3 linked regions of the Anolis sagrei genome follow. The protein of the gene in region 1 interacts with the protein of each later gene in a pairwise test. Links are inferred from orthologs where the notes say so. Each region holds a gene or a part of one and is shown in the gene's direction. Other genes may lie near its edges. The genes, in order: ESRRG, NR0B1 and DEUP1.

Region 1 (7,536 bases):
GAACCCATCTGGCTGTTCCCTACCATCAGGGTCTGTCCTCTGCCTTCCCACGTTTCCCCGCTGTCCCCCACTTCCTCTTCGACTCAAGTGCATTTTTTGAACTAGTTGGGTCAGCATGTTGCAAGGGTACTTCCGTTGGGGCTCCATGCGGGCAGTGGAACCCCAGAGTCCCGCCAGAAGTAGCTCCAGGGGACTCCATGCCAGCAGCACAGAGAAGCAGGGAGAAGATGCTTCTCTGCCTTCATTTGATAAGGTTGTATATGTCAGTTTTACCATTGCACAGTACAGGTGATTTTTCTTTTTGTCAATATTTGTTGCAGCTAAGTATTCAAAGTTGAAAACCACATCCTTTATGCCTTAAAAAAGAGCTGCCTCTAAGTTGTTTTTGAATTTGTATCATGTTTTAATGTTAGATATGCAGTGGTTGATTGCTTATGTTATTTCTTAATTTTGGTTTATCTGTCATTATTTTAATTTTATTATCATTATGAATTTTCTTTTGGGATCTGAGGGATTATTTATTTCTCTTTGTTAGTGTATTCTGCCATTGACTGTTTGCCATTTTTGTTGGAAACTGTCCTGAGTCCCTTTGGGGAGATAGGGCAGTATACAAAGTTGTTGTTGTTGTTGTTGTTGTTAAACATACCAGTAATATCAGACAGTTTGAAAAGGATATAGAAGGAAGACTCTTTCCTTCAGTGCATGGACAATCTCACTACTACGGCTGCCCTATTCAGTGATTCATCGCGCTCTGACTGCTTGTTAAACACGAGACATGAAAAGAATAAAAAAGTAAGATGTTACAAAAATGCTTTTATTAGAGTTACATTCTTGGTCAAAAAAGCAGGTTAGATGACACAGGGCTTAATATGTGGAACTGGAAGATGAAGGCGGGTGAAATTTGTTCTGGTGTGATCCCACTGTGGCTGGGTTACTGAAAAATGGGGATAATGTGTTTGTATGCAGTTAAAAAACATGTCCTGTAAATCTTTTTCAGTTGCCCATTCCCTGGATGTCGCAATAGATTAAGTCACTATGTGATGATATGACACCGCCATCACTCGTCTTGCTGGGATATTGCTAGAGGCAACAACAAACCTGTGCCTTTGCACATGTGCAAAAAAAAAATTAGCGCTTCAGGGGTTAAATTGCACAGGCTCCCCTGTGGATCAGCTTATGCTTGCACAGTAATAATAGCAATAACATTAATAACAAAAAAAAAATGCCTGAGAAAAGTGAATTGATAGGGAGAGAAAGATGGGCCATGGTGTTTAGAGGAAACTAAAACCTAGAAGGCTACAAATGATGGGTTTTGTATGGCAGGTGTATCAACCAGACGTCCGATTTCATAGGTCTGCTGAAAATGCACCTACACAAATGCACATTACTTTAGCTTTTGAGATGCTTAGTGCCTTTGAATGTGTGTGTGTGTGCGCGCTTGTGTGTCTGTGAGTGCTGTCGCTTCAGGCCATGATATCCTAGGGCAGTGTAACAAGCAATTCGTGTCAGCTCACAGTAAAGATTATTGGTGTTTTCACTGGGGAAATATTTGCACTCCATCTTCTTTTCTATTTTTAGTGCCCTGAGCTTCCAGTTAGGTAGGAAGCTGGGGAGAGACAGGAGGTGAGGAAAAGAGCCATCTGATCTTGTCCCATAGTTGGTGAGATATCCTAATTTGATTTTAGGGTGGATGATTATACTGGCTTTTAAAAAATCCTTTCCACAAAGTGGCTTTTAAAAAGAAAGAAAGACCCAAACAACTTCTTTCACATTAAACAGATTTCTCTCAATCTCTTTGAAAATATTATGTAGGGAACTAGAAGAAAAAGTGGCTAAAACAAAATACGTGGCCTCATTGTCCCAATAAAGAGTAGCAATTTATTGTGAGGGAAAGAAAGCAATATGAATTGCTTTTCTTTCGTACTGTTGTTTATCATAATAATCTTTTTGTGCTTTCTGTACGAATATTTTAGATGCGATTATCATAACATCAGTGACCGAGATTGTCCAAAATGCAATGCTGACCTTGAGTGTACTTTATCATTTAGCATTTGGTGACTTAACATTCAGGAAACAACACACCTTCAACTCTCTTATTAATGTATAATCTGAAAAATGTGCTCTGTGATACATGTCATGCAGATTCTCGAAATCTTTCACTATCCGATGGAACAGCATGTGGTATTTTACTAGTGTAAATATGTAGAAGATTTTTCAAGATTTCTACAGGGGATACTCCATAACCAAAGTAAGCTTTCCCCTTGGCACTCCACTAGTTTATGATTTAATTTTTACTGACATTCCGCCAGTCGTATTATTATCTCCGCAAAATGAAAGTGAAATAATCCTGTATTAATTAAACAGAGTGACTGAATTCCCTCAGTCATCTTTGCCTTCGTTTTCTAAGACAGTAACACCGTGGGGTTCTCTAAGGAAACATGTGTTAGGAAAAGAGTCCGCTATGGGTTATACATCAGTTTTAGAAAAAGAAAAGGGGAAAAAAAAACTAAGATAGTACTTGTAAGTGTCTACTGATGTTCTTGAAAAGAGAATTTAAATCAGCAAGCAAAATGTCGCTTTACAGAATGGTATAGTTTATCAGTTTCTAATACATCCCTAGTACTAATTTAAATAGAAATTGTCTGAAGAATTACGGATGCAGAATACCTGTTGTGGTGGATCTATCATATAGCAATGATAGGATAAAATTATTGGTATGATGTTTTACTTGGAAAAAAGAACTTTTGCATATATTTACCTAGAAATAAAGGGAGATGAAGTGTGTGCATGTGCACTCTCACACATGCATAGGCACGCACATGTATGCTTATCTGCAGCTTGTATTTAAAAGCATATTCTAACATTGCGCCTTGTCTAAAATCTAGGCAGGGTGGTCATTATTTCTGCTAAATATAAATGAAAGCAGCAGATGGGCTCTAAAGTAGTAATCTACTACCATTTGCTCAAGTGTACATAAGCGTGCAAAGAAATTCAGAGAGTGAGCTTGTCACTTTCTGTGCGTGTGGAGGGAATTTTATTGGAGCCAGGGATGTGCCGAGCTTTCTGAGGAAAAGTAGAAAAGACAAACAGCAAACATGTATGAGTCTTAATGGCTTCTTAGGATATTTGTTTTCAATTAAGAGAGTTTGGAATTGGTGTATTTGCAAAGACAGGCCCTTGGAAGTCAACCCTTCGCTTCCCAATTCTTTAAATCCTGTATTCTCTGGCATTTTTCTGTCCAGGTACTATGGTATATCTAAACAAATCTATTACTTTGGTCCTTTTACAATGAACGTCAGACAATACAAGGTGAATTACAAAAAATTGCAGCACTTAATTCAAACTCAATTGAAAAGGTGATAGGATTTGTTGGCACTGAAGGGATACATGTTTTTGAGGGGCAGACTGCTAGGGATGGTATGAATGGGATTTGGGTGTGTGTATGGTTTTAACAGCAATCGTATTTTAGTGTTCATGCTTCATGACACCAAGATTTAATTGTTTGTTAGTTTTATATTCATATTTACATCCATTTTTTGTTTTTAATTTGTATTGTATCACGTTTGCTGTTAGCTGCCTTGAGTGCCTGTATGGGGAGGAAGGCAGGAGAAAAATAAATAAATAAACACAGGAGAGGACATGATGATTTTTAAATAACTTGGCGTACAACTGAGCAAGTGCCTAGTAACCTCATAGTAGACCCAAGCCCCCCTTTGTATTTTTCTTCCGTGGTCTTTTTCTGCACTTGGCACAATTAATTGTACTGCTTCTGCAAAGTGCCATTGAATCTTTACTTCAGTAGCCTTGAGGTAGCTGTGGCTTCAGAATCGGGCAATTTGGACGCAATGAGCTGTCTGTAGCACTTAAGTGTGAGGGTGCTTAAAGATATACAGTACTCTGCATGGGGATAATTATCCGCAGAAATATGCAGAGGAGATGTGAAGATGTAGACACTGTTCAAGAGCACTCACTGCCTGGTGCAAATACTCAGGACAGCGTCTCTCACCCTCCTAGCTCTGATTTTCACTATCGCTTTGTGCCGACTCCATGAGGTGAGTTTATACACAGCAGCATTTGACTTAGCAAGGGTATGTGTGTGTGTGTGTGTTAGCAAAAGAGAATACTCCTTGTATTTTTGATAATGTGAAAATTGTGGGTTTGCCTTGTTTATATTTTCACGAGTCTTCCTGTTCAATAGTACATGAAACGTAACAAGCAGTTTTCAGATGAACAAGGATGGTAATAATACTGTGATGTTTCTCCTTTTGTTAAAAAACTGGCATGAGAAGTTCAAAAACACAGTTGAAATTTCAAGCCCAGGTCTACTGGAGGTGACATTTTGAATCCCAGGGGGGAAGGCCAACTGCCTTTCATGAATGCATAAATTATAATACTACGGCTGTGGTCTTCTAAGCAGCATCAGCAGAGACAGATGCTTCCAAGGTGCCTGGTAGAAAGATAGCAATAGTTAATGTCGTGTTGGAGGGGGGAGCATAAGATGACATGGACAGGAAAGAGGACAGCAGGAATTCAGTGGAGCAGCGTAATAGATGGGAAAGCAGAGCAGAAGAGCAGACAGTCGTCCAAAGAATGTCCACAGCTAACTACAATGATCGTAAGACAATATGAGGTAATTTTTAAATAATTTTCTAATAGTTTAATATTATATATTCTCTGTTTATATTGTTATCTAGGCTTTAGACTAGGAAGCCTGGACAAAAGTATGCTTTCAGGAAACTTTCAATTGAATGTGATTTATTAGGTGCGAAGATAGATGGATGAATAGATGAATTCAAAGAGTATACTCAATGGGTATACGAATATGCTTCAATATTGTTATATCCAGACTTTGGATATAAATGATATATAAGTTATATGGAAATTAAGCACATCTGCTACAAACAGTTCTTATTAATTGAAATATTTGTAGGAAGGTATGTTAGATTCTGACACTATTAGAATACATGCTTAATCTTTTCCCTCAGCTTGTTTAGTGAATCCGAAGAATGGTTGGATAGGATGCATGTCAGATTGCTTTTAATCCACCATTCAGAACTAAAATTTACATCTTAATTAGAGGCTACATTTACCAGTATAGGCAGAATAATGTTACTGGTAATTAAGCTTTTGCCACCTGGTTTTCTCTGGTGATGAGATCAACTTCTGCGGTGTGTATTTGTATCCCTAAGAATGTGCATATTTGTCTGCATAGAAGCAGCAGACTCGCAACTGTTCGTGGGATAAATGTATTAAATGCTAGAAGTTGCTCAGGAAAGCAAAGAAGCACAAACATGTCTACTGCACATACATATATTTGTCTTCCATTCTGTCATCTTACTTTGGTGAAAGCTTTCAAATAGACTTGGAGACAGCTGTTGTATTCCCGTTTGTGAATGGCATTAATGCATTCTGAAGGTGAGCACTGATTTGTTTTGATCTGAACGATGATGCCATTTGTATCACGGAGTGCTTCACTCAGGAGAAAAAACATACAAACTGCTGAATTAGTGAAAAAGTGGTTTTTAAAAAAAATTGTAATAATTATTGCATTCTTGTATATAGCACTATTTTCAGTGGCACAGGGTATGATAATAATAATAATAATAATAATAATGTAAATAATAATTATTATACACTTATTATATTTCACAAATAGGTGAAATAAACATAGGTTGCTTTATAATAAAGTTGTACCCTACTTTATTTTTGCAGTTTTTCAAAAAATGTCTGTTGTTAGTCTGGAGACTGGCATCCATGTATTAAGTGTGTTTGTATTAAGTGAAGCAGGTCAGTAGCTTTAACATGCAGGAGCCAGAGGTGGAGTATTTGTGGGTTGTTTCTGTTGTTTGCATTCAAGTCATTTCTGACTTACAGCAACCCTAAGATGAACTTGTAGTATAATTTTCTTCAAAAGATTCATTTAGAGGGGATTTTGCCATGGCCTCCCTCTGAGGTTATGAGAGTGTGACTTGCCCCAGTGAGTTCCATGGCTGAACAAGGATCTGAACCTTGGGTAAAGGGTTAGATAATTTTCCATAGTAAAGGTAGAAGTTCCCCTTGACATTAAGTCTAGTCTGGGTGGTGGTGCTCATCTCCATTTCTAAGCTGAAGAGCCGGTGTTGTCCGTAGACGCCTCAAAGGTCATGTGGCCAGCATGACTGCATGGAGTGCTGTTACCTTCCCGCAGAAGCAGTACCTATTGATCTACACACATTTGAATGTTTTCAAAGTGCTAGGTTGGCAGAAGCTGGCGCTAACAGCAGTAGCTCACTCCCACTCCCAGATTTGAACTGCTGACCTTTCAGTCAGCAAGTTCGGCATCTCAGCGGTTTAACCCGCTGCACCACCAGCGGCTCTGAAGAGATACTTCAGAGATTTTAAAAAAATATTTATGTACCAAATACAAGCCAACATATTTAAAGATTTAAATGGGATATAGCCCAATCCAATGTATCTCTATTTGGAAATGACTTCATTGGGACCAATATCCAAATTATTGTACATACCTTTGGCTCCTTTGCACTGCCGAACAGTTCAGTTTGCTGGACGGTCCCACAGTGTTATTTTGGAGAAACGCCTTTGAACTGTATAAAACTTGCATTCAGATAATAATAGTTAATACTGGTAACACTGATCAACAAAGTTTCTCTTGCTTATTCCTTTTTTGGAGACGCAAATAAAACAGACCAATATTAACAGGCATCATCCTGTTTGCCTTTAGGCATCCTCATAGGTTTGCAAACAGGCATGCGGCCCCTTTTCAGCATAAACATGGTCAAAGTGCACAGCCTTTTCTTTCCAGCTCCCGAGCATGTTTCTCTCTCTCTCTCAGAGTGATGCAAAGACAAACACTGGCAGCCTTGCATGTTTACAAAACTTGGAAGTGCAGAAGCTCAGCAGAAAGCAAGCCCCCATTCCACCCGTACTCTGCTCAGATCTTTAGAAATGGGAAAGAGAAATGAAGTATGAACAGTTCCATCCTAGCCATGTTTCACTCAAGATGCTGAGGATTTCCTCCCACATGCAGGTTCCCCAGTGCATTTAGACTAAGCATGGGCAAACTTTGGCCCTCCAGGTTTTTTTTACTTCAACTCCTACAATTATTATTATTATTATTATTAACTTTATTTGTACCCCGCTAGCATCTCCCGAAGGACTCGATGCGGTTTACACAGGCCGAAGCCTCAAAACAACAATACAATAGAGAGCATAACATCACAATAGCAAGCAAATCAGCAATAAACAAAATAGCATAACACCACAATAACTAAGCAAATCAAACAATAAGCAAAATAACCACAATAGCAGTACATCAAGACATTATTAAAACTGGTTCGGCCGGCGCACTGGGGTACAAGGGTTAAAAGTGCTGAAATGGCAGGAGGCACGTGGGATTAAAAGTGCAGTGTGCAGCGACAATTAGTTATGCTAAGGTGCTACTAGGACTTGGGGTGGGGATTCCTAGTCTGAGAAGGCACAACGGAACAGCCAAGTTTTTAAATTCCTTCTGAAAACGGCTAGAGTGGGGGCCTGTCT
Region 2 (8,060 bases), on another chromosome or scaffold:
GCTTCTCGACTACACATACAGTCTGAGATTTAAGTGGTAAGCCGCTTAAAGAGGCTGAACCCTGGATTTTAAAAAAATGGGGAAAGATCCCAATCCTGCTCCAGGATTTATATCTTCACTCGTATTGGGGTAGTGGGAACAGTCATCCTGAGTCCTATGCTCCCTGGGTTAAGGCAGTCAAAGGGTGAGATGGCAGCCTTTCTTGCCCTACGCACCCCTATTTTTCCCCTATACAAGTTTGTAAAATGCCTACTGCATGGTAGCAGCCTTTTTTCTGGTTCTAAACTCAAGCCAAAGGAACCCAGGGAGAGCTGGAGAGAGTGCAGGTGGGTGGAGCCTGACTTTGGTATGGTTGGCTATCTGGCCAGCCATACCAAAGACAACTACCAAGACAACTCAAGACCCCCATGTGTGGCCTCAGTGTGACAGAACTGGCATTTTCCATGCTAGATCTGAGCTGCATTATGTCCCTGTGTAGAAGGACCCGATGTCTCCTTTAGCAGAGTTCACAACTGGAAAGTGCCACATCTGCTGGACTTCTCTGCATGTCTGTCTTTTTAGCAAACTTCATAGCTAAAACCTCATGTTGCCATTGTGAGATAGGCCCTCTCAAAGCTGGAGAAGGGGAAAAGTAGGCAAGCAGAGGTCCCAATGACACCTGGACAGTGCCGGCTATGGCTGTTTACACTAGTGAGGAATAAAAAGTAGTTGTAGTGATGTACAATTGTGAGACGAGACTTTGTTTTGCAGAATTTTGAGCAAATATAATGTCTGATTCATGTGTTGGCACTAAATCCATTCACAACAAAACATGGATTCCTTCTTAGGCTTGTAGGAAAAGAAACACGCCTTGTAGGAAAAGAAACAAGAAACAAGAATAATTTGCTCCAGATTATGGCCAAAATTTTAAAGGAACTGTTCAAAATGTTGACCCTGTTTTGGGGATAGTGTTCAGTACCTTGGACAGCTCCTCCCAATGGAAGCACTCAAGCACTACTTAGCTTGGTCTCTTCCTACAAACCAGAGAAATGTTGGTTTTCTTCTAGGGTTTGTTTTTCTGTCTCGCTCATGGATCACATGACTGAGTGTCAACTTTTGTCACATTCAGACATTAGGTTTATTTAGCCACCATGATTGGAAGTGAGAGCAACTGGAAAGCAAGAATGGATTCTTATTGAAACATGTCTTTCCATGACTTCTGGAGACACTCAATTAAAGTGTAAATCAAGAAAGTAGATGTGAAACAGAGTTACCATTTTGATCAAAGACCTGGTTAAATGAAAATAACATTGTTATTCCTTTTCATAAGGATAAACTGGTACTAAATATTGTACAATTGTGATGGTTCAATTTCACTGCTGTCTGAAAGAAAAACATATCAAAAACTGTCTCCTGCATCAGTGGTGTATGTGTATTGGGTGCTTTCATTTGTTGCCCATTTTACAACACAGAAAAAAGCAAAAGCTCGCAAATAATAAATAACAAGAGAAAGAAATACTGAATATGTTATGTTCCTGGTTAGGGAATATCCTGCACCACCTCTTGCTCTTCATACTCTGATTACTTGGATTTCTGCTTAAAATATATCTTTTCTCTACACATGCAGATTCAAATCAATGAAATAGTGGGTACACACTAAACATTCTTTATCTGAAATGTTTGGGAACACAAGTGTTGTGCATTTAGGATCCCCCCCCCCTAATTTTGGAATACTTGCTTATGCTTAATAAGTTACTTCAAAGATGGGAAACAAGGCTAAGCATACCCATTTGTTTATCCTTTCACCCACCCCTAGACATGTTGTCTGATGGTAACTGTATATCATATTTTAGTACAATTGTACATTTATTATGTTTACTGTCTAATTTTTGATAATGTGTTATTATTTTTGATGTAGATGTGGATTTGCTTTTGGGATTTGGGAAGTTGGTTATTTTTTGTCTTTTTTCAGCTTCTTACAGCACTGAATGTTTGCCAATATCTGTTGCAAACTGCTGCATGTCCATTTGGGGAGATATAAATAAAGTTAATATTAGTAGTAGTAATATTAGTATACATTGCACCACGAGAAAGCAAAAATGTAACTTGTTTAGGTCTCCTTATGGAAAATTTGGGACTATTTTGCAATTCTTCTTCAGACTCTGGCAATGCACTTTAGCGCTGTTAGACTGTTGATATCATCATCACATTATTTTATATAACGTCACTTATCATTTTATACTTTCAATTGCACTTTAATGATTTAGATCCTTTTGATGTAAATGTGCATAATGAGGTTTGTGTGTCTCTATCTAGCCTTTGGTTGTCATTTAAGGGTTGCTGTGAATTTTCCCGGCTGTAAGGCCATGTTCCAGAAGCATTCTCTCCCGATGTTTCGCCCACATCTATGGCAGGCATCCTCAGAGGTGTGAGGTCTCTTGTAAACAAGGCAAGTGGGGTTTATATATCTGTGGAATATCCAGGGTGGGAGAAATAGATACAGAAACCTCACTTGCCTAGTTTCCAACAGACCTCGCAACCTCTGAGGATGCCTGCCATAGATGTGGGTGAAACATCAGGAGAGAATGCTCCTGGAAAACGGCCATACAGACTGGAAAACTCACAACAACCCAGTGATTCCAGCCATGAAAGCATTGGACAACAAGTTGTCCTTTAAGTTTATATATTAAGTTTATACTGATGCTATTTATTGGTTGTTTTGATTTGTTTTGTTGATCACTTTCGGCATGGAATGTTTGCTGGTTTTCTTCTGGAAACTGCCTTGAGTCCCCATTGGGAAGATAGGGTGGGTTATAAATAAATTATTGTTATTGCTACTGCTACTGCTGTTCTTCTTCTTCTTCTTCTTCTTCTTCTTCTTCTTCTTCTTATTATTATTATTATTATTATTATTATTATTCCGGAGAAGGGACACTGCTTGGGTGTAATGTAATACAGGCATGGACAAAGTCCAGTCCTCCAGGTGTTTTGGACTAGAACTCCCACAATTCCTAACAGCCTGCTGGCTGGGTTGCTATGAGTTTTCCAGTCTGTATAGCCATGTTCCAGAAGCATTCTCTCCTGATGTTTTGCTCACATCTATAGTAGCCAATCTCAGAAGTTGAGGGGTCTAGACAAGTGGGGTTTATACACCTGTGGAATGTCCAGGGCAGAAGAAAGAACTCTTGTCTGCTTGAGGCAAGTGTGAATGTTGCAATTGGCCACCTTGATTAGCATTTAGTAGCTTTGCCTGGCTGATTGCTGCCTGGAGGAATTCTTTGTTTGGTGATGTTAGCTGGTCCTGATTGATTCTTGTCTGGAATCCCCTGGTTTTTTTTAGTGTTCTTTATTTACTGTTCTGATTTTAGAGTTTCTTAATACAGTAGAGTTTCGCTTATCCAACCTTCACTCATCCAAGGTTCCGTATTATTCAACGCAGTTTGCCTTCCGCCTGGATCCACAGCTGTTTCAATACATTACGATGTTTTGGTGCTAAATTCATAAATACAGTGATGTTTACATAACATTACCGTGTACTGAACTGCTTTTTCTGCCAATTTGTTGTAAAACATGATGTTTTGGTGCTTAATTTGTAAAACCATAACGTAATTTGATGTTTAATAGGCTTTCCCTTAATCCCTCCTTATTATTCAACATTTTCGCTTATCCAATATTCTGCTGGCCTGCTTATGTTGAATAAGCAAGACTCTACTGTACTGGTTGCCAGATTCTGTCCATTTTCATGGTTTCCTTCTTTCTGTTGAAATTGTCCACATGCACACACACACACACTAGCCATCCCCTGCCAGGCATTGCTGTGGCCCAGTTTGGTGATCTGGAAAATAAAGTAACGAGAAAGTGTTGGTTTCTAATATGTGTAATTTCTTTATGCTTGTGGGTAAACAGTATTTATTCTTGTTTCTTTGTCAGTGTTGATGTAGAGATTGTCTGGTTTGCCTACTCTGGAACATGCAACATATAATTGTCCTTCTTTAGGGGTCCCTGTCAAATCTATGATACTATATCTGTCATATACAAATATGTGTGTGTGTGTGTGAATTGTATCTATCTATCTATCTATATCTATGGCTGGATGGCTCTTTGTCAAGAGGGCTTTATGTTTTCTTGCCCTGGTGAAGGGAGTTGGGCTGGATGGCCTTAAGGCAGCATTTCTCAACCTGGGGGGTGGGATCCTTGCAGAGGTCATAAAGGGGTGCCAGAGAGGTTACCAAAACCATCAGAAAACACAGTATTTTCTGTTGGTCATGGGGATTCTGTGTGGAGAGACTGGTTCAATTCTGTCGCTGGTGCAGTTCAGAATGCTCTTTGATTGTAGGTGAACTATAAATCCCAGCAGCTACGACTCTCAAATGTCAAGGTCTATTTTCTCCAAACTCCATCTGTGTTCATATTTGGGCATATGGAGTATTCGTGCCAAGTTTGGTCCAGATCCATCATTGTTTGAGTCCACAGTGCTCTCTGGATGTAGGTAAACTATAACACCCAAACTCAAGGTCAATGCCCACCAAACCAACAACTACAACTCTCAAATGAGAAAATCATTTTTTTTGTCAATTCGTCCAGTGGTGTTTGAGTTTTGTTAATCCCACAAACGAACATTACATTGTTGTTTATATAGATGAGAAAGGGGTTCGTTTCCCGCCTGCCCACCCCATCCAACCGAGGGAAAGGCTGCAAAGGAAGCCTTGGAAGAAGCGCCAACTCCGCGCCGACACGGAAGGCAGCGTTGGGCGGAAGCGCCTTGGTGTGGCGGGGAGCCGGAGGGGGCGCTTCCTTCCTTCTTTCCGGCCGCTTGAACTTGGCGTGGGTCTCCCTCCCGTTCAGCCCTTCGCGGAAAGCGCGCGACGTGGGACGGTCGGGCGGAAGAAGCGGGAGGGCATTTGGAAAGGGACGGCGACAACACGCCCTCCTCTCCCGAGAAGGAGGGGAGGGGGGGGAGAGGGTGGAGTCCTGGTGGGGGGGGCTTTCTTCTTCTCCTTCTTCCCTCCTTCCCTCCCTCCCTCTCTTTCTCTCTCTTTCTCTCCTCCTCCCCGTCCCTTCCTTCCAGCCAGTCGGCAGCGTCTGCGCCTTTGAACTCCTGCGCGCTATAAATAGCCCCGAGGGCGGGCGTGCGGGCGTGCGGGCGAGGCGGCTTTCCCGCTCTTTGCCGGCCATGGCGTGCCTGGACCGCTGCCGCTGCTGCACGGACCACCGGCGCCAGGGCAGCATCCTCTACAACATCCTCAAGAGCCAGGAGCACCGCCAGCACCAGAAGGAAGAGGGGGAGGGCGAGGGGGAGGCGGCGGGCCAAGGCGGGGAGGCGCTGGCGGGCCCCCCTCCGCTGCCGGCCCCTCCGCTGCCGCTCCCCGCGAGGCCAGGGGCCGGGGCGGCGGGCTGCTCGTGCGGGGCCGGGCGGCGCGTGGCCCTGCGGAGCCCCCAGGCGGCCTGCAAGGCGGCCTCGGCGGTGCTGGTGAAGACGCTGCGCTTCGTCAAGAGCGTGCCCTGCTTCCAGGAGCTGCCGCTCGACGAGCAACTGGTCCTGGTGCGCAGCTGCTGGGCGCCGCTCCTCGCCCTCGGCCTGGCCCAGGACCGCGTCCACTTCGAGACCGTGGAGAGCGCCCGGCCCAGCATGCTCCAGCGCATCCTCACCACCCAGCCGCGCCCCCACCAACACCCCGGACAGCCCCAGGAGAAGCCCGGCCAAGCCCAGCCCCGCCACCACCGCCACCAGGGCGACGGCGACGACGAGGAGGAGGAAGAGCGGCTCCCGCCCCAGGACCCAGAGCCCCGCTGCCCCCAGCTGCCCTCGGCGGGGGAGATCCAAGCCATCCAAGGCTTCCTGGCCAAGTGCTGGAGCCTGGACATCAGCACCAAGGAGTACGCCTACCTCAAGGGCACCGTGCTCTTCAACCCGGGTCAGTGGGGCAGCCCTGGGGGCACGCTTTTGGGGAAGGGTCCAGGGTTCTCTCCCCCAACCTCTCCGCCTACTTCTTCCCCCTCTCTTTCCCCCCCTCCCTTTCTCCTTCCTCTCTCCCCTTCTCCCGTCCCCTCACTCACTCCCTCTCTCTCCCTCTCCCCTTCTTCTCTTCCTTACCTCTACTCCTCTCTCCCCTCCATTGCTCTTTCTCCCACTTCCCACCTTCCTCTCTTCTCCTTCTCCTCTTCTTCTCATCTTTCCCTCTACTCCTGTTCCCCCTCTCTCCTCTCCCTCGCTCTTTCTCCCTCTCCCCACCTTCCCCTTTTCTCCCTCTTCCCTTCTTCTCATCTTTACTTCTAGCCTTTTTTTTGCCTTCCTCCACTCTCTAACTCTTTTCCCTCTTCCCCCCTTCTTCTCATCTTTCCATCTATTCCTTTTCGTCCTTTCTCCCCTCCCTCTTTCTCCCTCTCCTCATTTCCCCCTCTCCTTCCTCTCCACTTCTTCTCATCTTTCCCTCTACTCCTTTTCTCCTTCCCTCCATCACTCTTTTTCCCTCTCTTCGCCTTCCCCTCATCTCCCTCTCCCCTTTTCTCCCTCTCTTCCCTCCCTTGCTCCTTTTCCCTCTCCAGTTTTCCGCTCTTCTCCCTCTCCTTCTCCTCTTTCCCTCTACTCCTTTTCTCCCTCTCTCCCCTCCATTGCTCTTTCTCCCTCTCCCCGTCTTCCTCTCTTCTCTCTTATCCCTCTCCCCTTCTCATATTTCCTTCTATTTCTCTATTGGGTTGCTGTGAGTTTTCTGGGCTGTATGGCCATGTTCCAGAAGCATTCTCTCCTGACATTTCACCCGCATCTACGGCAGGCATCCTCAGAGGTTGCATTGTTTGTTGGAAACGAGGCAAGTGGGGTTTATATATCTGTGGAATAATGTCCAGGGCGGGAGAAAGAACTCTTGTCTGTTGGAGGCAACTGTGCATGCTGCAAGTGATCACCTTGATTAGCATTGCAAAGCATGTGGACAATTTTAACAGAAAGAAGGAAAGCATGAAGATGAACAAGATCTGGTTACCAGCATTTTAAAAAATCCTTTAAAATCACAACAGTAAATAAAGAGGAACACTCAAAAACAGGAGAATTCCAGACAAGAAACAACCAGGGCCAGCTAATCACCTCCCAACAAATGATTCCCCAGGCCAAAAGCAGCCAATCCTTGATGCTGCAAGGCTTTTCAGTGCTAATCAAGGTGATTAATTGCAGCATTCACACCTGCTTCAAAAAGACACAAGTTCTCCCATCCTGGACATTATTCCACAGGTGTATGAACCCCACATGTCTTGTTCCCAACAAATCTCACAACCTCTGAGGATGCTTGCCATAGATGTGAGCGAAATATCAGGAGAGAATGCTTCTGGAACATGGCCATACCGCTCAGAAAACTCACAACAACCCAGTGATTCCAGCCATGAAAGCCTTGAACAACACATTTTCCCTCTACTCCTTTTCTCTGTCTCTCCCCTCCCTTGCTCTTTCTCCCTTTCTACTTCTTCCCCTCTCCCTCCCTTTCCTCCCCCCCCCCCCATCTGACCATTTTCTTTTGCTCCTTAGGCAGCTCCTGGGCAAGTCCTGCTATTCCTGCAGCTTGACCCTGCTTTATCTGCCATGGCTCAGTGCCACGGAATCAATGCTCGATGCTAATTGATTTACCTAAGGCAATACTGCTCGGTCAAGTGGAGAACAGTAGGAAGACTTTGTTACAGGTGGATTGATTCAATTAAAAGTCTCCCCTGGTTCTGAGTTTGCAAGAGTGGAGTTGAGCTGGAGTCCTTGGAGGTTTCTTATCCAGTGTATCATATGGTAGAATGAATGCAGTTTGACACTGCTTTAGCTACCATGGCTCGATTCAATGGGGTCCTGGGATTTGTAGTTTGCTGAGACAGCAGCATTCTTTGGAAGAGATGGTTTGTAAAACTACAACTCCCAGAATTCCATAGGATTGATTACGTGATTTTATCAAGTGTTTTTAAGGTTTGATATGTTCTTAATTATTGTTTTAATATATGCATTTATTTTATTATATATGTATATTTTACATGGCATTAAATTGGAGCCTATATATGTAAGACACGTTGAGTCCCTTACAGGGTTGAGAAAGGCAGAGTGTAAATAAGGT
Region 3 (7,891 bases), on another chromosome or scaffold:
TTCAGCAGTGGAACTCTTTGCCCCGGAGTGTGGTGGAGGCTCCTTCTTTGGATGCTTTTAAGCAGAGGCTGGATGGCCATCTGTCAGGGGTGATTTGAATGCAATATTCCTGCTTCTTGGCAGGGGGTTGGACTGGATGGCCCATGAGGTCTCTTCCAACTCTTTGATTCTATGATTCTATGAATTAATACCGAATTACGAAATTAACGAATGAAACCACCCAAGCCTAGATAATAGGATTGGACTCTCTCCAATGCAGTGATGCTGTGAGATTTAAAAGATTCTCCATCCCTGCTTTGGAGTATCTCACATCTCCTGTTACTTTAGCACAGCAGTGAATCATTTGCAGAAGTGGCAAGAAGAAAGCCTGCCTTCTCCCTCCTCTACTCGAACCTTATCCCCTCCATGAAGCCCGAAAAACACTACAGAAGCTGGCTAGACCCCAAAAGTCAAACGCATTCCTAGGAGAAAGCCCCAAGAGAGAATATTTTTATGCAGGTCTCAGCTGTAAAGCCCTAATGCCGGCTCCTTGCATCCTGAAGGAGGGATGATAGCTATTAACCACCCACAGAGAGCGGAAAAGAATATTCTCAGGTCATCATTTTTTTAAAAAAAAGGGAAACATTTTGTGCCTGCTTTTCCACCAAGTTTTGTGCTTTTATGACACAGGCAAATGTTTTCTTCTTCAAAAGTGAGATTTCTCTCCCTCTCAGGCTTTCATCTACACGGCTGAAAAGAATTCCCAGTAGGCCCTTTCTGCGGTGCGGTTTCGACTTTTCTTATCTCTGCCCTCTGTTTCATTGGCCAGAATAATTCCTGAGCCACAGGGGCTTAGGAGCATTTCCTTGAAACATCTTTCGATAATGAATGCAGGTGAGAGCTTTGCCTCAACAAAGCTCCACTTTTTATCGAGAACAGGACCTTTTCTGCATTGTGCCAAGATGATATTGGCTTGGCGGGTGGTGGGGGGAGTTATAATGAGGTCTGGCGTGGTCTTTGGGTAAAAAAACGGGGCTAAAAGTCAAATAATCTCATCCTGTTTTGCCCACCGAAATATGTTTGCCGTTTTCCTCACTGCGCAATAATTTCTTGATGTGTCAATGAAGGAGCAAAACCTCACATATGAACCAATGTGAAGTTTGTTATTACCATGTGCTTTAAATTTTAATTTTAACTGTTAGTTGCAAGATTTAAACTGTTGTATCATGCTTATCCTCCCCTTTTACCCTGCTTATGTATAGTTGTATGGACCAAGGGCAAGATGAATGGATGGCATCCTTGAAGTGACTGGACTGACCTTGAAGGAGCTGGGGTGGTGACGGCCGACAGAGAGCTCTGGCGTGGCCTGGTCCATGAGGTCACGAAAAGTCGGAGACGACTGAACAAATGAACAACAACATGTATTGGTTACTTATGGCTATCAATCAGTACTGTATGGCTCCACCTCTTCCTGCAGGAGGGGAGTGCTTCCTTTCTTTTCATTCTGCCATCAGAGTTTCTACCAGATGGACGTGAGTATGAGACTTGTCTCTAAAAGACCCTGATTTAAATTACCTCTCAGCACCAGTTCTGAGGTTTTTTATCCTTGAGATTTGTGATTCATGTTCAGACCAACCTGAATGACGTTGGAAGTCTCAAGCGCCTTCAAACCGGTTCTTTTGGCACCAAAGGAAGATCCTGAGTCTTCAAACATAGGCCATTTGAACTGGGGTTGTGGTTTGCTCCGGCATTCACAGCCATTGAGGAAAGAGGAAACTTGGAAAGGCTTCTCAGCTTCAAACACCTTGGACCCAAGACTAACTGAGATTGTAACATATATTTTCCTTCAACCCTCTGAAGTTTCCAGCTCATTGCTTTAAAGAAACAACTCTGTGATCAATAAAACTTATTTTGAGTTATTTACAGCGTTTTGGGTTTTTGAAAGTTCCAGTTTCTTATAGGAGGGCAAGAAGCAATCCCCTGGGGAAAGATGCCACGTCCATGCCTCCTTCATTAAGAATTATAGCCCCCAGGCGCAACAGCACAGCACCTACGAAGGAGGCGGGACTGAGAGCAGGGTCTCTCCAGATGATCTCAGTCTCCAAGATGGTTCATAGGGGGAGATACGTTCAAACAGGTAAGCTGGGCCGGAACCATTTAGGGCAGCGTTTCTCAACCTGGGGTCCAAGACCCCTGTGGGGGTTGCGAGGGGGTGTCAAAGGGGTCATCAAAGACAATAAGAAAACACAGTATTTTCTGTTGGTCATGGGGTTTATGTGTGGCAAGTTTGGCCCAGTTCTATTGTTGGTGCTGTTCAGAATGCTCTTTGATTGTAGGTGAACTATAAATCCTCTCAGAATTTACCTCCAACACCACAGTTCAGAAGCGTCTATCTTCCTTTGCTCAGCCTTCCCTATAGTCCAGCTCTCACATCCGTAGGTGACTATGGGGAATACCATTGGTTTAACTATGCAGATCTTTGTTGCCAGTGTGATGTCTTTACTCTTCACTATTTTATCAAGATTGGTCATTGCTCTCCTCCCAAGAAGTAAGCTTCTCCTGATTTCCTGGCTGCAGTCTCCGTTTGCAGTAATCTTTGCACCTAGAAATACAAAGTTTGTCACGGCCTTGACGTTTTATCCCTCTAATTGCCAGTTGTCAATCATTCTTGTTGTCATAATCTTGGTTTTTTAAATGTTTAACTGCAACCCAAATTTTGCGCATTCTTCTTTCACCTTGATTAGAAGGCTCCTCAGTTCCTCCTTGCTTTCAGCCATCAAAGTGGTGTCATCTGCATATCCATTGGTTACTATGGAGAATACCATTGCTTTGACTATGCAGATCTTCGTTGCTAGTGTGTTGTCTTTACTCTTCACTATTTTATCGAGATTGGTCATTGCTCTCCTCCTGAGAAGTAAACGTCTTCTGTTTTCCTGTCCACAGTCTGCGTCTTTGTTGTGGCTCAGTCTGAGTCTGAACTGTCTGGGCCTTATGCTGGGCCTGCTGGGCCTTCTGAGCCTGACTTTCTGCAGGATGACGAGGAGGCTGATGGGTTTCAGATTTCTGTACATGTTCCAGACGGGGCTAATAGTGTGGCTTCTGAAGAAGAAACAGCAAGTCTGTTCTCTGGAGAAAGGAATGTGCCGTTAGAGAAAGACAGTGAAACTCCACATCTGCAGGTGGAGACTCCTTTGACTCCTTTTGGTTCCCAGGGTGATCAGACCCAGCTGGGCCAAGATAAGGAGTTGCCCAGCCTTGAAGATAATAGTGAATTAATGAGTAGACAGGATCGTTTACCATTAAGAGTTCGCAGAAGCACTCATCTTGCCAGCAAGTATGCAGCCAAAGGTCAACGCAATGCTTTCATGTCAGGAAAACTTATTTAATGGTGTAGCCGACAGGCATTTTCTGTCAGTCCAATGTTGCTCCTTCCCTGTTAACTTCTGTGGAATTACCTTGGCTTTTGCGGAACGCTTCTGGCTTTTTTGAGACTTGGATTTTGATCCTGATTTCATTTGTGTACCATGGACTTTTGTTTGACCATTGCTAAGGGATTATGCTTCATGTTATTTACCTTTGAATCTTGGAAACTTTGCCTTTGCATTTAAGACTCTGTTTTGCCTATTGAACTTTTGCGTCCTTATTTCTCTGTTTTGATTTTGCTTTTTCTCAATAAACCTACAGCCTTGGTGTGTGGTGGTGTCTTGAGCAAGGAAGAAACTACCCTGAGTTGCGACAGTCTTTCTGCCTTTATATTCTGGGATATAGGGCTGTGTGGAAGGGCCCTTAATAGGCTTGCGAGAAAGCAGGTGGGGAAATGTCAGTGCTTGTGTGTACAGATACAGAATGGAGAATGCCTGGCTTGAGAGCAGTACGTGTGAAAAAGATCTTGGAGTCCTCATGGACAACAAGTTAAACATGAGCCAACAATGTGATGTGGCGGCAAAAAAAGCCAATGGGATTTTGGCCTGCATCAATAGGAGTATAGTGTCTAGATCCAGGGAAGTAATGCTACCCCTCTATTCCGCTTTGGTTAGACCACACCTGGAATATTGTGTCCAATTCTGGGCACCACAATTGAAGAGAGATGTTGACAAGCTGGAATGTGTCCAGAGGAGGGCGACTAAAATGATCAAGGGTCTGGAGAACAAGCCCTATGAGGAACGCCTTAAGGAGCTGGGCATGTTTAGCCTGAAGAAGAGAAGGCTGAGAGGAGATATGATAGCCATGTATAAATATGTGAAAGGAAGCCACAGGGAGGAGGGAGCAAGCTTGTTTTCTGCTTCCTTGGAGACTAGGACGCGGAACAATGGCTTCAAACTACAAGAGAGGAGATTCCATCTGAACATGAGGAAGAACTTCCTGACTGTGAGAGCCGTTCAGCAGTGGAACTCTCTGCCCCGGAGCGAGGTGGAGGCTCCTTCTTTGGAAGCTTTTAAACAGAGGTTGGATGGCCATCTGTCAGGGATGATTTGAATGCAACATTCCTGCTTCTTGGCAGGGGGTTGGACTGGATGGCCCATGAGGTCTCTTCCAAGTCTTTGAGTCTATGATTCTATGATTCTATGAAAGCAGGTGGGGAAAAGTCAGTGCTTGTGTGTACAGTTAGGCATGGACTCCTTTGGGCCCTCCAGGTGCTTTGAACTTCAACTCCCACAATTCCCAAATGGCTGTTGAAGTCCAAAACACCTGGAGGGAGGGCTGTAGTGGTGGTCTGCCATGCCAATGAGTGGAGAGTTGCCTGCTAGGCTTTGCCAGCTAGGCCTCAGCGTTGCCGTGGCAACGGGAGACGCCTGTAAGCCCCGCCCCGAATTGCCGCCGTGGGAAAGGCGGGCTCGGCGGCGGGAAGCAAGCAAAGGGCAGCAGGGAGGGAGGAGGGAGGCAGGGAGGGAGGGGAGAGGCCCCTTGCCCCACGGTGGGGAAAGAGCAGAGCCGCAGGGAGCCCACGGAAGGGCCACAGGGCGGGGAAGAGAGGCCCTTCCTCGAAGCCCAGCCAGGTAACCCACCTTCCCCCCTTCTCTGCTCCAAAGAATCCCTTCCTATGCTCAGAGGCACTCTTTGCCTGTCTGTTTCCCAGTTGCAACAGACTACTGAAAGAAAGCCCCCTCTACACTGCCCTATAACCCAGGGAGGGCCCTTCCACACAGCCCTCTATCCCAGAATATCCAGGCAGAAAATCCCACAATATCTGCTTTGAACCAGATTAATCTACATTGCCATCAAATCCAGTTTCTGAATCCACATTATCTGCTTTGGACTGGATTATATGACACTATGCTGTCACATAATCCAGTTCAATGCAGATTTCTGGATTTTATATGGCAATGTAGAAGGGGCCCCAAGTCCACACTCAGATAATGTGGGATTTCCTACCTGGGATACAGGGCTGTGTGGAAGGGTCCCCAGATTATCAAAGCAGATAATCCAGTGTCTATTTTGAACTGGATTATATGACCCTACGCTGCCACATAAACCAGTTCAAAGCAGATAACATGGATTTTATGAGGCTGGATCTGCACTGCCATATCTAATCCGGATTATCTGATTTGAACTGGATTATATGGCAGTGTAGACTCAGGTCTCTTCTACACTGCCCTATAACCCAGATTATCAAATCGGATAATCCACACCAACTGATTTGGACAGGATTATCTGACTCTAGACTGCCATATAATCCAGTTCAAAGCAGATTCTGTTGTTCATTTGTTCAGTCGTCTCTGACTCTTCGTGACCTCACGGACCAGCCCACGCCAGAGCTCCCTGTCGGCCGTCACCACCCCCAGCTCCTTCAAGGTCAGTCCAGTCACTTCAAGGATACCATCCATCCATCTTGCCCTTGGTCGGCCCCTCTTCCTTTTGCCTTCCACTTTCCCCAGCATAATTGTCTTCTCTAGGCTTTCCTGTCTCCTCATGATGTGGCCAAAGTACTTCAACTTTGTCTCTAGTATCTTTCCCTCCAATGAGCAGTCGGGCTTTATTTCCTGGAGGATGGACTGGTTGGATCTTCTCGCAGTCCAAGGCACTCCAAGCAGATTCTATGAATTATGTAATTGCAGTGTAGAAGGGGCCTCATATAATCCTATTCAAAGCAGATAATGTGGATTATCTGCTTTTATAATCTGGGTTATATGGCAGTGTAGAAGGGGCCTCACTCTTCTCTCGTCCCTTCTTGTTGACGCTTAATCTACACTGCCATCAAATCCAGTTTCTGAATCCACATTATCTGCTTTGAACTGAGTTATATGACACTATATTGCCATGTAATCCAGTTCAAAGCAAGACATCTGGAATTGAGTAACTGGATTATATAGCAGTGCAGACCCAGTTTGGATTATATGAGTCTACATTACGATGTAATCCAGTTCAAAGCAAATAATCTCGACTGACGGCCCTTCCACGCAGCCATATAACCCAGAATACCAAGGTAGATAATCCACAATATCTGCTTTGAACTGGCTTATCTGAGTCCATACTGCCATATAACTCAGTTCAGTGCAGATAATGTGGGATTTTATACAGCTGTGTGGAAGGGGCCTATGAAACCGGATTATATGTGGCAGTGTAGATAAGGCCTATTTTTATATTTTCCCCTCTCCCATTATGGTAGGGAACTGAAGGAAAGGTCCCACAGCCTGTGTGAAGAGGCATTCGCGTTTTCCACTTCCTTTCTCATTGATTCGGGTCTGACACCATAACAAAATTATTTCATTTTCTCATTGACCTCTTATAAGCAGTGAAGAAAAGTTTTCTTTTTATGCTCAGAGGCACTCTTTTCCTACTTTCTTTCTCTTGGTGATGTTAACAAAGGAGAGGGCTGAAGGAAAAGCTCCTCAAACTGTACCAAGAGACATTCACATTTTCCTATTATTATTATTATTATTATTAGTATACTATTATTATACTATTTCAAACTTCCGTACAGTGGCCCTTATTTCTCATGCCAGTAAGGTAATGCTCAAGATCCTGCAAGGAAGACTCCAGCAATACGTGGAGCGAGAGTTGCCAGATGTTCAAGTTGGGTTTAGAAAAGGCAGAGGAACGAGAGACCAAATTGCCAATATCCGCTGGATAATGGAGAAAGGCAGGGAGTTTCAGAAAAACATCTACTTCTGCTTCATTGACTATTCTAAAGCCTTTGACTGTGTGGATCATAATAAATTGTGGCAAGTTCTTAGTGGGATGGGCATCCCAAGCCACCTTGTCTCTCTCCTGAGGAATCTGTACAAGGACCAAGTAGCAACAGTCAGAACTGACCACGGAACAACAGACTGGTTCAAGATTGGGAAAGGCGTACGGCAAGGCTGCATCCTCTCACCCAACCTTTTTAACTTGTATGCAGAACACATCATGCGATGTGCGGGGCTGGATGAATGCAAAGCTGGGGTGAAAATTGCTGGAAGAAACATTAACAACCTCAGATATGCAGATGACACCACTCTGATGGCCGAAAGCGAGGAAGAGCTGAGGAGCTTCTAATCAAGGTGAAAGAGGAAAGCGCAAAAGCCGGGTTGCAGCTAAACGTCAAAAAAACCAAGATTATGGCAACAAGAATGATTGACAACTGGAAAATAGAGGGAGAAACCGTGGAGGCCGTGACAGACTTTGTATTTCTAGGTACAAAGATTACTGCAGATGCAGACTGTAGCCAGGAAATCAGAAGACGCTTACTTCTTGGGAGGAGAGCAATGTCCAGTCTCGATAAAATAGTGAAGAGTAGAGACATCAGACTGGCAACAAAGATCCGCCTAGTCAAAGCCATGGTATTCCCTGTAGTCACCTACGGATGTGAGAGCTGGACCTTAGGGAAGGCTGAGCGAAGGAAGATCGATGCTTTTGAGCTGTGGTGTTGGAGGAAAGTGCTGAGAGTGCCTTGGACTGCGAGAAGATCCAACCAGTCCATCCTCCAGGAAAT

Evidence for each region.
Region 2: the proteins of ESRRG (region 1) and NR0B1 interact in binary tests that used the Homo sapiens proteins (3 or more experiments, as listed by UniProt). The link is inferred for Anolis sagrei from reciprocal best matches to the Homo sapiens genes ESRRG and NR0B1.
Region 3: the proteins of ESRRG (region 1) and DEUP1 interact in binary tests that used the Homo sapiens proteins (3 or more experiments, as listed by UniProt). The two-hybrid records come from large-scale screens. The link is inferred for Anolis sagrei from reciprocal best matches to the Homo sapiens genes ESRRG and DEUP1.

Annotation. Positions count from the first base shown.
Region 1 is NC_090021.1:35,092,531-35,100,066, reverse strand, and holds the start of ESRRG (estrogen-related receptor gamma), read left to right. Parts: upstream 1-4,470; 5' UTR 4,471-4,471; coding exon 4,472-4,630; intron 4,631-5,338; exon of another isoform or gene 5,339-5,469; intron 5,470-6,506; exon of another isoform or gene 6,507-6,594; intron 6,595-7,536. UniProt on the Homo sapiens protein: Orphan receptor that acts as a transcription activator in the absence of bound ligand. Binds specifically to an estrogen response element and activates reporter genes controlled by estrogen response elements.
Region 2 is NC_090023.1:83,341,103-83,349,162, forward strand, and holds the start of NR0B1 (nuclear receptor subfamily 0 group B member 1), read left to right. Parts: upstream 1-4,981; 5' UTR 4,982-5,152; coding exon 5,153-5,894; intron 5,895-8,060. UniProt on the Homo sapiens protein: Nuclear receptor that lacks a DNA-binding domain and acts as a corepressor that inhibits the transcriptional activity of other nuclear receptors through heterodimeric interactions.
Region 3 is NC_090023.1:19,127,249-19,135,139, forward strand, and holds the start of DEUP1 (deuterosome assembly protein 1), read left to right. Parts: upstream 1-4,878; 5' UTR 4,879-4,976; intron 4,977-7,891. UniProt on the Homo sapiens protein: Key structural component of the deuterosome, a structure that promotes de novo centriole amplification in multiciliated cells.